3 linked regions of the Bombyx mori genome follow. Each later gene encodes a partner of the first gene's protein in a complex. Links are inferred from orthologs where the notes say so. Each region holds a gene or a part of one and is shown in the gene's direction. Other genes may lie near its edges. The genes, in order: RNA polymerase-associated protein Rtf1, parafibromin and RNA polymerase II-associated factor 1 homolog.

What was found.
Region 2: RNA polymerase-associated protein Rtf1 (region 1) and parafibromin share a complex: the UniProt entries of both Caenorhabditis elegans proteins name them as parts of the PAF1 complex. The link is inferred for Bombyx mori from reciprocal best matches to the Caenorhabditis elegans genes rtfo-1 and cdc-73.
Region 3: RNA polymerase-associated protein Rtf1 (region 1) and RNA polymerase II-associated factor 1 homolog share a complex: the UniProt entries of both Caenorhabditis elegans proteins name them as parts of the PAF1 complex. The link is inferred for Bombyx mori from reciprocal best matches to the Caenorhabditis elegans genes rtfo-1 and pafo-1.

Annotation. Positions count from the first base shown.
Region 1 is NC_085130.1:8,014,670-8,018,333, reverse strand, and holds part of RNA polymerase-associated protein Rtf1, read left to right. Parts: intron 1-272; coding exon 273-383; intron 384-2,265; coding exon 2,266-2,399; intron 2,400-3,491; coding exon 3,492-3,600; intron 3,601-3,664. UniProt on the Caenorhabditis elegans protein: Component of the PAF1 complex which is a multifunctional complex involved in transcription initiation via genetic interactions with TATA-binding proteins, elongation and transcription-coupled histone modification.
Region 2 is NC_085121.1:7,754,899-7,757,403, reverse strand, and holds part of parafibromin, read left to right. Parts: intron 1-59; coding exon 60-191; intron 192-977; coding exon 978-1,152; intron 1,153-1,328; coding exon 1,329-1,446; intron 1,447-2,116; coding exon 2,117-2,258; intron 2,259-2,505. UniProt on the Caenorhabditis elegans protein: Component of the PAF1 complex which is a multifunctional complex involved in transcription initiation via genetic interactions with TATA-binding proteins, elongation and transcription-coupled histone modification.
Region 3 is NC_085120.1:5,063,750-5,067,116, forward strand, and holds the end of RNA polymerase II-associated factor 1 homolog, read left to right. Parts: coding exon 1-18; intron 19-1,614; coding exon 1,615-1,806; intron 1,807-2,488; exon of another isoform or gene 2,489-2,692; coding exon 2,693-2,749; 3' UTR 2,750-2,838; downstream 2,839-3,367. UniProt on the Caenorhabditis elegans protein: Component of the PAF1 complex which is a multifunctional complex involved in transcription initiation via genetic interactions with TATA-binding proteins, elongation and transcription-coupled histone modification.

The DNA of each region.
Region 1 (3,664 bases):
CACTTACTGCACTAGTCACTAAATATATTAAATTTCCTAACTCGGCATACTTCAATCAGTTAACAACTGCTCAATTCATATCATACCCTGTGCCTATGCTAGCATTCTGGACGATTTTTGAACTGTTATTTAGTGCTGAAAGTGGGACACTTTTTCAATGATATTGAGACGGCTCTCCTTACTTCTACCCTCCATAATTGAAAACAAAAACATGTCATATCAGGTCTGTGTAGTGTAACAACAAAAAATTTCATATACTGTCTGTGTCTCAGCTGCTGAAGCAGAAGCAGAGAAAGAGAAGGAAAAAGAAAAAGAGCCCCAGAATGAACCAGAAGAGACGCCTCCTAGTCCTGGAGAAATACTGGACGAAAGTAAAGATATGGGTATGCTCCACAAATATTATTCAATCAGATAATTTCATTTCAATATGATAATCAATATGATAAACACTAATACCGAAACTGCTTTGAATGTTGTTGATGTAATGAACATTTTTTTTCTTTTTTAATTGTCTTCGTCTTCAATGCCTTAAGGCGAATTTACATTACGAAATTAGTGGCATGACATTAATTTCGTGACATTAGTTTTACCAACAGTTTCACGTGTAATTGAATACTTTCGTAATGCATGCATTAATTTCATGCATGCAAATTAGTTTCGTGCCCTGCGCGATTTTTTGGTGAAATTAGTGTCATGCAACTAATTTCATAGTGTAGACGCGACGTGAAAACTAATGTCGCGAAAGGGCCTGCGCTGTGCGGACGTGTGTATTGTTAGTTCGGACGCGCTTTAAGCGTTGAAAATGGCAAACCAACGATGGAGTACAGAAAAAAATATAGATCTTATTAATGAATATCAGCGACAACTACAGTAAAAAATCAAAATTATCTTCACTCATTCGAAAATAGTTTTTATAGCTCTCAGGATCTTCATCTGCTAATTCAGAGCATTGCACCTAAATGCCTTCTTGGTAACCATCCTCAAATCTACCAACGTCTTTTTTTCTTGATAATCTATTTTTAAGTTTATAGGTATATAAGCATTTCTTTAGCTACATTGAATATAGCAAATTATAGCTTTGATGCTGAAGGCGCCGTGGTTACTGCGATACTGTGGATTTCGCGACACTAATTTTTTAACGAAATTACTTTCGCATATATCGAAACTACTTTCGTGAAACTGAGTTCAACATGCATGACACTAATTTCGTAATGTAAACTCCGCATTAGGCATTGATTTTTACGATGTCACAGTATACACGAAAATGTCAGATGCTTAGATAAAAAAATATTTAAATACAAATAAATTTCGTCAGTTTTTTCATACGCGATAAAAATAAATACCATTTTATTAGTAGACTAGACCAGGGGCAGCGGCTTGGCTCTGCCCCTGGCATTGCTGAAGTCCATGAGCGACGGTAACCACTCACCATCAGGTGGGCCGTATGCTCGTCTGCCTAAAAGGGCAATAAAAAAAAACCCGTCCGCTTCGCTGAGCATTTAAAATTAACATAATTATTTCTCATCCCCACAAAGATTCTCATCATTAACGCCCCCGCAACTGGTGTAGGGAGTCCAACACTCATATAAATATTAGCCTATCCATTTAGTACGTGTATTTTCTACACGGATACCAAGTTTCAAGTCAATCGGATGCACGGTTCAGTAGTTATAACGGAACATCCGTAAAAACCACTGTGGATTTATATATTAGTGTGGGACTTGCTTAAAGTAAATAATAGCAGCTTATAGGAAAAGTAACAAAATTTGTTAGAATAACACGTTGTAATCGTTCACACTCTTACTATGCCCGATCGCCATCTTGACCATTTCCCCTCCGTCCCTTTCTTCCTCATACATTCATCCCTTTCACTCGAAAACGTTCCGTTTCCCACAAAAAAGGGTAAATTACCCCAAAATGGGGTAAAATGAAATTTTGGGGGGTAAAAATGAAACTTGTGAGTAAAAAGTATTTAAAGAAGTAAAACTTCTTTAGAATCGTTGTGATTTCAAACTCGATGAAACGAAATGAAACGAAAGGATTTTTTTTTAAATTTTTTTTCAAAATTATCATGGGGTCTATAATATGAATGCTAAAAAGAAGCGATTTTGTTTTTTTTTGTTCTTCGCCATGGCGTAATATCAACTTGCACAAAAATATTTTGGGGTAATAATTAAAAAAAAGTTCCCCGACCGCTGGTATAGATAACAATTTACAGCTGAACAATAAAAAAATATCGTTAACTAAACGTGTGATGTTCCACAGAGCCCTCAGAGAGATCAGCCTCTCCGCTGTTTGGCTGTAAAACAGAACGGAAACGCGCCGTGGATGACAAACGACAGAATGCTATGGCCGCGTTGCGAGCTCAAAGGGCTTCGAGAGTGCAAAGGGCGCCGGCTGTGAGTTTCGCTTTATTTATTACACTTGGGCCATTACTGTGACACTACTAGCTGACCCGGCAGACTTCGTAGTGCATAAATCGCCAAATAAAAGACCTAAAGTTTTATATACAATAAAACAAAAAAGGAATCCGTCCGACGGGGGGGGGGGGGGGGGACACATCAAAGTAAAAACAAATATTTTTATTTCATTCCGAGAATTTTCATATTTATCTAAACCTTCTCTGGACTTCCACAAATAATTCAAGACCAAAATTAGCCAAATCGGTCCAGCCGTTCTCGAGTTTTAACGAGACTAACAAACAGCAATTGATTTATATATATATAAAACGTACTTAATAGCCTGACTTTGTATTGAATGAAATAAATAACTAAAAATAAAAAATAAAAAAACCTGCAAACTGAGTCTGCAAAGTTTCTCTGAAAGATCGAATCAGAAACGAGGTGATCCGAAGTTCTGAACCAAAGTTATAGACATGGCACAGTGAATTAGTAAGCTGAAGTGTCAATCGGCTGGCCATATTAACCGATAACCGTTGAGGTAAACGCGTTCTTGAGTGGAAAACGCACTGCAGGACGCCCTCAGGCTCGGTGGAGTGAGGATCTGTGCAGGGTGGCTGGTAGGAGCTGGATGAGAGAAGCCAGGGATCGTGCTCAATGGCGAGCAATTGGAGAGGCCTATGTCCAGCAGTGGACTGATTTAGGCTGATGATGATGAACTGAGTCATAAAACATGACGTCAAAGGAATATGACAATGCCGCCCAACTCGATATCGATAAAGGGTTGCCACTTGGGTTTAGGTAGTCAGATGACGTGGTCGATGATGACTTGTACATGTAAATTGTAGGTTGTAGGTGTTTGTGTTAAAATTGTGTTAGTTATCATTAGACGATCCTACGTGAACCATCCAGGCATTATTCGATAACTTAACATTGTTAAAATTAAATTGTTTTTCTATTGTGTTATTAGATATTTGCAAAATGTTCAACATCAAATTTGTTGAAATATGGACCTTTTGATTTCCTTTCCTTTTTGTAAAATATAACCTAAGCCTAAAATGGAATAAATACAATTATTTATTTATTCAACAGGACGCTGAAGCAGATTTAATAGGCGGCTCGAGCAAACAGACTGTGAAACTTAAAGCTTCAGATATTTATTCGGACGACTCCGGCTCTGAATCTGAAGATAATAAATCAGGTGTGGCTCAAATTTACATCTCAAGCCTCGTGGTCTGATGGGCTAGGAACATGATATATGTCTG
Region 2 (2,505 bases), on another chromosome or scaffold:
TATTAAATTCAATATTTTGTAATATGTTTCAAATTCTAATTTGATTTATTTTTCCTCAGAAACGGAAGGCTTCAAGATTGATACCATGGGTACCTATCATGGTATGACATTGAAATCAGTAACAGAAGGACCAAGTGTACCTGTAGCAGCTCGAGCCCCTCAAACGCCCAATCATCCAAGACAAATGCCACGTAAGTACGCAACTTAAATCAAATCCAAAAGTTACCATATATTAAATCTTCATTTTAGTCTTGCTCAAAAACATTTGTTTCAGCAAAATGTGAGACTGTTGAAGTCTATTTAGGTTTTTTTTTTTTTATTGCCTTTGTAGGCAGACGAGCGTACGGCCCACCTGGTGGTAAGTGGTTACCGTCGCCCATGGACTTCAGCAATGCCAGGAGCCGATATTTAATTATAAAGTATGTTAATTCTTATAGTACGAATTGTCGATAGATTGACTCTCAATTAACAGATATAAAGTGGGGAGCGTGGGAATAACGCCTATTTGCGCAGTTTTTTAGGTATTAGATATCAACCTGTACAGAAGTGTCTAAGCGCGCACATGTTATAACGTTTTTAATAAGTATATAAAATTTATAAATAATCATTTAAAATTATTTTTCTCTGTATTTAGAATTATTTTTTATATATTTTTTTAAGTCAAAGATTTCTATAAGGGACTTTTTTCAATAATCCTTCAGCAATTTTTGCAAAATATGGTCAGCACTAAAAGGGTAAACAAAATCATTCACCTGATAGCAATGACTCTATATAGTCTAGTCAGGGGCTATAGTTGTTTAGGGATGGCTTTTATCTGATTTAAACTTCACATCACTGATATTAAGTTTTATTAGGTTTTATTATTTATTTTATTGTGAACAAGCACAAATAAATTATGCAATCTAATTTAAATGAAAATTAGTTTTAGTCGATCAATGACAATCGTGTTTTAAATGAGGCAAAAAATATATTTTTAGAAAACGGTGCTGTTATGCCTGGCACGCCTGGTCGCAGGGAGCTGCTGCCGGTGGCCGCAGCCCGACTTCCCGCAGGAGGAAAGCGGCCCTCACGCACTCCCATCATTATCATTCCCGCCGCAGCTACGTCACTCATCTCTATGTTTAATGTTAAAGATATTCTTCAAGATCTCAAGTGAGTATTTTTATTTAGCTCACATAGTTCTCAAAACCGAAGATAATATTGAAGTCCTGTCTACGTTTTCGACAAGAGTAGTCGTGGGGTAGGGAAAATGTTGTAGGAAAAATAAAAGGTTCAAAGTTAATAAATAAGTAATAAATAAATTTTAATAGTAATAATTTTTCTTTCAGATTTGTAACTGTAGAGCAAAAAAAAACTGAGGGAGCAGTTCGCGAGAATGAAGTACTTTTGCAAAGAAGAAAAGGTCAAACTGGCGATCAAATACCAACGAATGCCACTACAATAACGGTTTGTTTCAATAATTAGCAACGAGTTTTCTTAATTAGAATATGAAAATATATTGTTTATTATTGTTGAGCTCATAGTCCACTAGATATTAAACCGGAATCTTAGTCCAAGAATATTAGAGAAAAACAACTTAAACACATTGTAATATGCTTGGTAAGATAAATGGAATAGTTAACTTTAGCATTTCATTTCTCGCGCACTGCAAGTGTAGTTAAAACTTTGCGGCAGATAGATACATTGTAACCTCACCAAATAAGTATGATCCACGTGTATGTTCCACAAATGTATCTATCTGCCACAAAGTGATCATATTTGAGTGTTAACAACGCTTATAACATTATAACAATATCACAGTAGTGGATAGTTGACAGTATTGTCAAGTAAACGAGTTGCTCTTATTCAAACTAAAATCGTATAGAGTTTCTTTGTTTACTTTTGCCATTACTGGTGTTCATAATGGATAACCAGCTACTCTCTGTGTGACTATCATCACTATAACTTTGACCGTGGGAAACGAATCTTGCTGTGGCGTCTAGGTTCCGGTAATCACTAATGCTGACTGGGCTCTAAACATGTCTGGCCCACAAAGAAGTGAAACAAAAAATTAAAGAGACATTGAGGAGTTATCTACCTATGCAAACTTACTTCTAAATCAGTCACCCACTTTAAGGTGCCATATCGAGTTGTAGACAATCCTGGAAGATTATCAGCAGCAGAATGGGACCGTGTTGTGGCGGTATTCGTGCAGGGACCTGCCTGGCAGTTTAAAGGATGGCCGTGGGACGGAAATCCAGTTCAAATCTTTGATAATAGTAAGTACAACAGAACTCATATTGTTATGCCCACAAATGGCAGCTCTGAGGATTGTACTTTGATTTCTGTAAATATTATATCGGTTTAATACTTACACTTACGAGACACTTTCATCAATGTTGATTTGATTTAATAGTTTTTTATGTGATTCTCGAAGGAAGAAATATACACTACCTTTGACTTCCTTGAAAAAGTCTTAACCCAGTGCTTTCATTTCTAAAATATCCATAGAACATTTGTGTTTGT
Region 3 (3,367 bases), on another chromosome or scaffold:
TCTAAAGCTAGTGATAAAGTAAATGACATTATTTTTTCACGCTTTATATTAGCTTCACTTGTGGTGGTAGGACCTCTTGTGAGTCCGCATGGGTAGGTACCACCACCCTGCCTATTTATGTCGTGAAGCAGTAATGCCTTTCGGTTTGAGTGGGGCAGCCTTTGTAACTATACTTGAGACCTTAGAACTTATATCTCAAGGTGGGTGGCGCATTTACGCTGTAGATGTCTATGGGCGCCAGTAACCACTTAACACCAGGTGGGCTGTGAGCTCGTCCACCCATCTAAGCAACAAAAAAATAATTAATAAATGTATGTTTGTATGTTTGTAACTGACTTCTTTAGACGCTTAGATTTTGAAGCCACTTTAAACGGCCAGATTACATTCAAACTTTGTAGATTTATCAAGGACTGATGACAATACACTAATTTGATAAGATTATTCCATTATTCAATTTGCAAAATAAGATTTTTGCCAGTTTACATAATTTTTATTTATAATCGATAAGGCAGGAATTGATGTTAAAGTATTTCATAGTTTTAAAAATACGCTTTTATAGAAAATTTTACTAAAAAATGAAAAATAAATAATAGTTTAAAAAAATAAAAAACACGCTTTCTATAAAATTCAACTAAGAAATCATTCAACTAAAAAAAAAACCACGCTTTTTTTACAATAAAATAATTTTTTTTTACTCTATTTTCAATTTAAATTTATTTTCTATTTTTTAGTTGAATTTTATATAAAGCGTGTTTTTTAGTTTTTTTAAACTATTATTTATTATTTTTATTTCAATCCTTTGCCTTTGACGGGCCGAGTCTACGGATACACCAGTGCTCACTAATCTTATAGATGCCAAATGGTGAATAGCATTCCTGGTTACATGAGCTCGAAGTCTCAGTTGTATTGTACTTGTGGCAACGTTCTAACTGTCGCATGGGGGTCGTTCAAGTATTACGTAAGCACTATAGGGGGCGGGGGCGTCTCTGCTTCGCTTATTTTTGATGACATGGGGGTGGGGGGTCCAGATGGTGATTACGTCAGCAGTAGCTATTTACTTTTTCACACATATTGGCAACCTACACATTGTCTATGCTTGAAAACGAAACGCATTTTCGGGGATTCCCATAAATAATGGCTACGTTTAGGTACTCGCTTGGAACCGAGGAGGAGAATTATCGCGCCGGGCTCAGGGCTTTGCTTACTTTTGCTGGCAAGGGGAAGGGGGTGTGAATAATAGTAATAAATCTGCTTACGTAATACTTGAACGGCCCCATGACAGTTTCGCCGCCGAAATTGGTTGGTGATGGGTATTGTAAGTTCACTCAGGTATCATCCCGAACATCCCATCAATTCGAACATTTCTGAATTAGCTGATTAACTTAAATAAGAATAACAGCTAATAATCCCTCGGATTTTATTTCAAGTATTTCATCAAATAAGTGGTTTTCGTATCTTGAGTTTCTCCAGTGCTGCATAATGTCCATTGCTAAGCAAATCATTATTCCACTTAGAAGACTTTGTAGACGTCTATGGGCTCCAGTAACCACTTAACACCAGGTGGGCTGTGAGCTCGTCCACCCATCTAAGCAATAAAAATAAAAAAACTTCCAGGGTTCGAAAGCCAGCTCTCGGGCGTCATCGCGGGCCAGCAAACGCTCCTCCCGTGCGTCGTCCCGGGCCTCGCGAGCTTCTTCGAGAGCTTCAGGTTCCAAAGCTTCATCCAGAGCTAGCTCTAGAAGGAATTCGGGATCGGCTAGCGGCTCCGAAAAGTCTCGAAGTCGCTCGCGTAGTGGTTCGAAACAGGTTGGTTCTTTATTGATTTGTGACTAACACAATACATTTTTAAGGCTGCCTTATCCTTGTAGTAACGGAATCTTAATTATATCGGTCTGGCCTTATGACAAAGACCTTTTTCTGACACTATCAGCTCTTTGAAGATGATAATAATATAGTCCCCACCTATCCTGGTGAAACTGGAAAGGCCTCAGAGCCACCAGTAATCCTTCAGTCATAAATAAAGATGATATTAGTAGTAGATTTATCTTATCTTTATATTATCTTTTATTATTATTATTATTTATTTATTTATACTTATTATACACAAAAAGAAAATACAATAAAAACAGATTTAAAGAATGTCTAAATACTATGCACAAAGGCGAGCTTAACTCATTCATGAGTTTTCTTCCAGCAAACCATTAGCAGAGAGAAATACGATGTATTAGTTATCAATACGTGAAGCAAAAACTTTCTACCCCTTTTTACGAAAATCGCGCGGACGGAGGAGTATTAAATTTTCCTCACTTATAGAGAATATAGAGAAGGAGTGCAGAATATTAATCTTTTTTTAATTATGCATAAAAAATAGATTAAATCAATTAAAAAAAAACATGACACAACTAGCATGTATTTGACACACACACGCATACTCTGTGTTTATTGTCAAACTTTTGTTATTGTTTAAAGTCTATGGTCAAATTGAGAATAGATTAATACTGTATGTCTTTAATATTATTTGTCGAAATCTGTGATTGAAGAAATATATCAGTCTTTGACAATAGAACCCTATGTTCTAATTTATGATTTCATTCATTCATTCATTTAATACATGTTGCTGATATGTTAGTTGTAGAGCGGCAAGAAGATTGAATATATTGTTATTGATTAAATAATTTCTTTAATTTCCCAGGGTTCACGTAGTGGGTCAGCGTCGAGTGCATCGTCAAGACATAGTGGTTCTGACTGAAAGAAGAATATGTCGGATATACTTTAACATTGACCTTGTGTTTTAAACATATGTAATTTATCCCGAATAAAATATCCAAAAATAATGGAGATCCTTTTTTTTTTTTATTAGTAGTGAATCCGGGCCACGCTTTGCTGTGAGTTACTACTACAATATAACGATATTTTTTAAGGCGATGTCGCAGTCGTGCCTGTATTAATGCTGGTGGCAAACAATTTGATCATTTACTGTAAGTCTAATAATGCAATAAATGTAAAATCGTTTGTGCCATTTGTTTTAATTCGTTTTTCAAGAACAACTAATTCATTTTGGCACAGTAAACATTACTATCAAGGACAATTTATTAAATTACTTCTTGTTTAGAAATAGTACTATTTTGTTGTCTAGTTTACTTAGAGTGTTCATACCATTTGATATCTTGGATAGTTACGTCAATTTAAAAGTTGCAATAATATCGTCCGTATTTTTTGTACCCCACGAAAATTTAAAGTAAAAATCATTCAAAATTATCGAGAAAAGTATATTTTGATTGATTTTTGTGTATAAACTACGGGCATTTGGGATTTTTAAGGGTTGTAGTGGCTAGTAGTGCAACTTGCCGATAAAAAAAAAAACAGA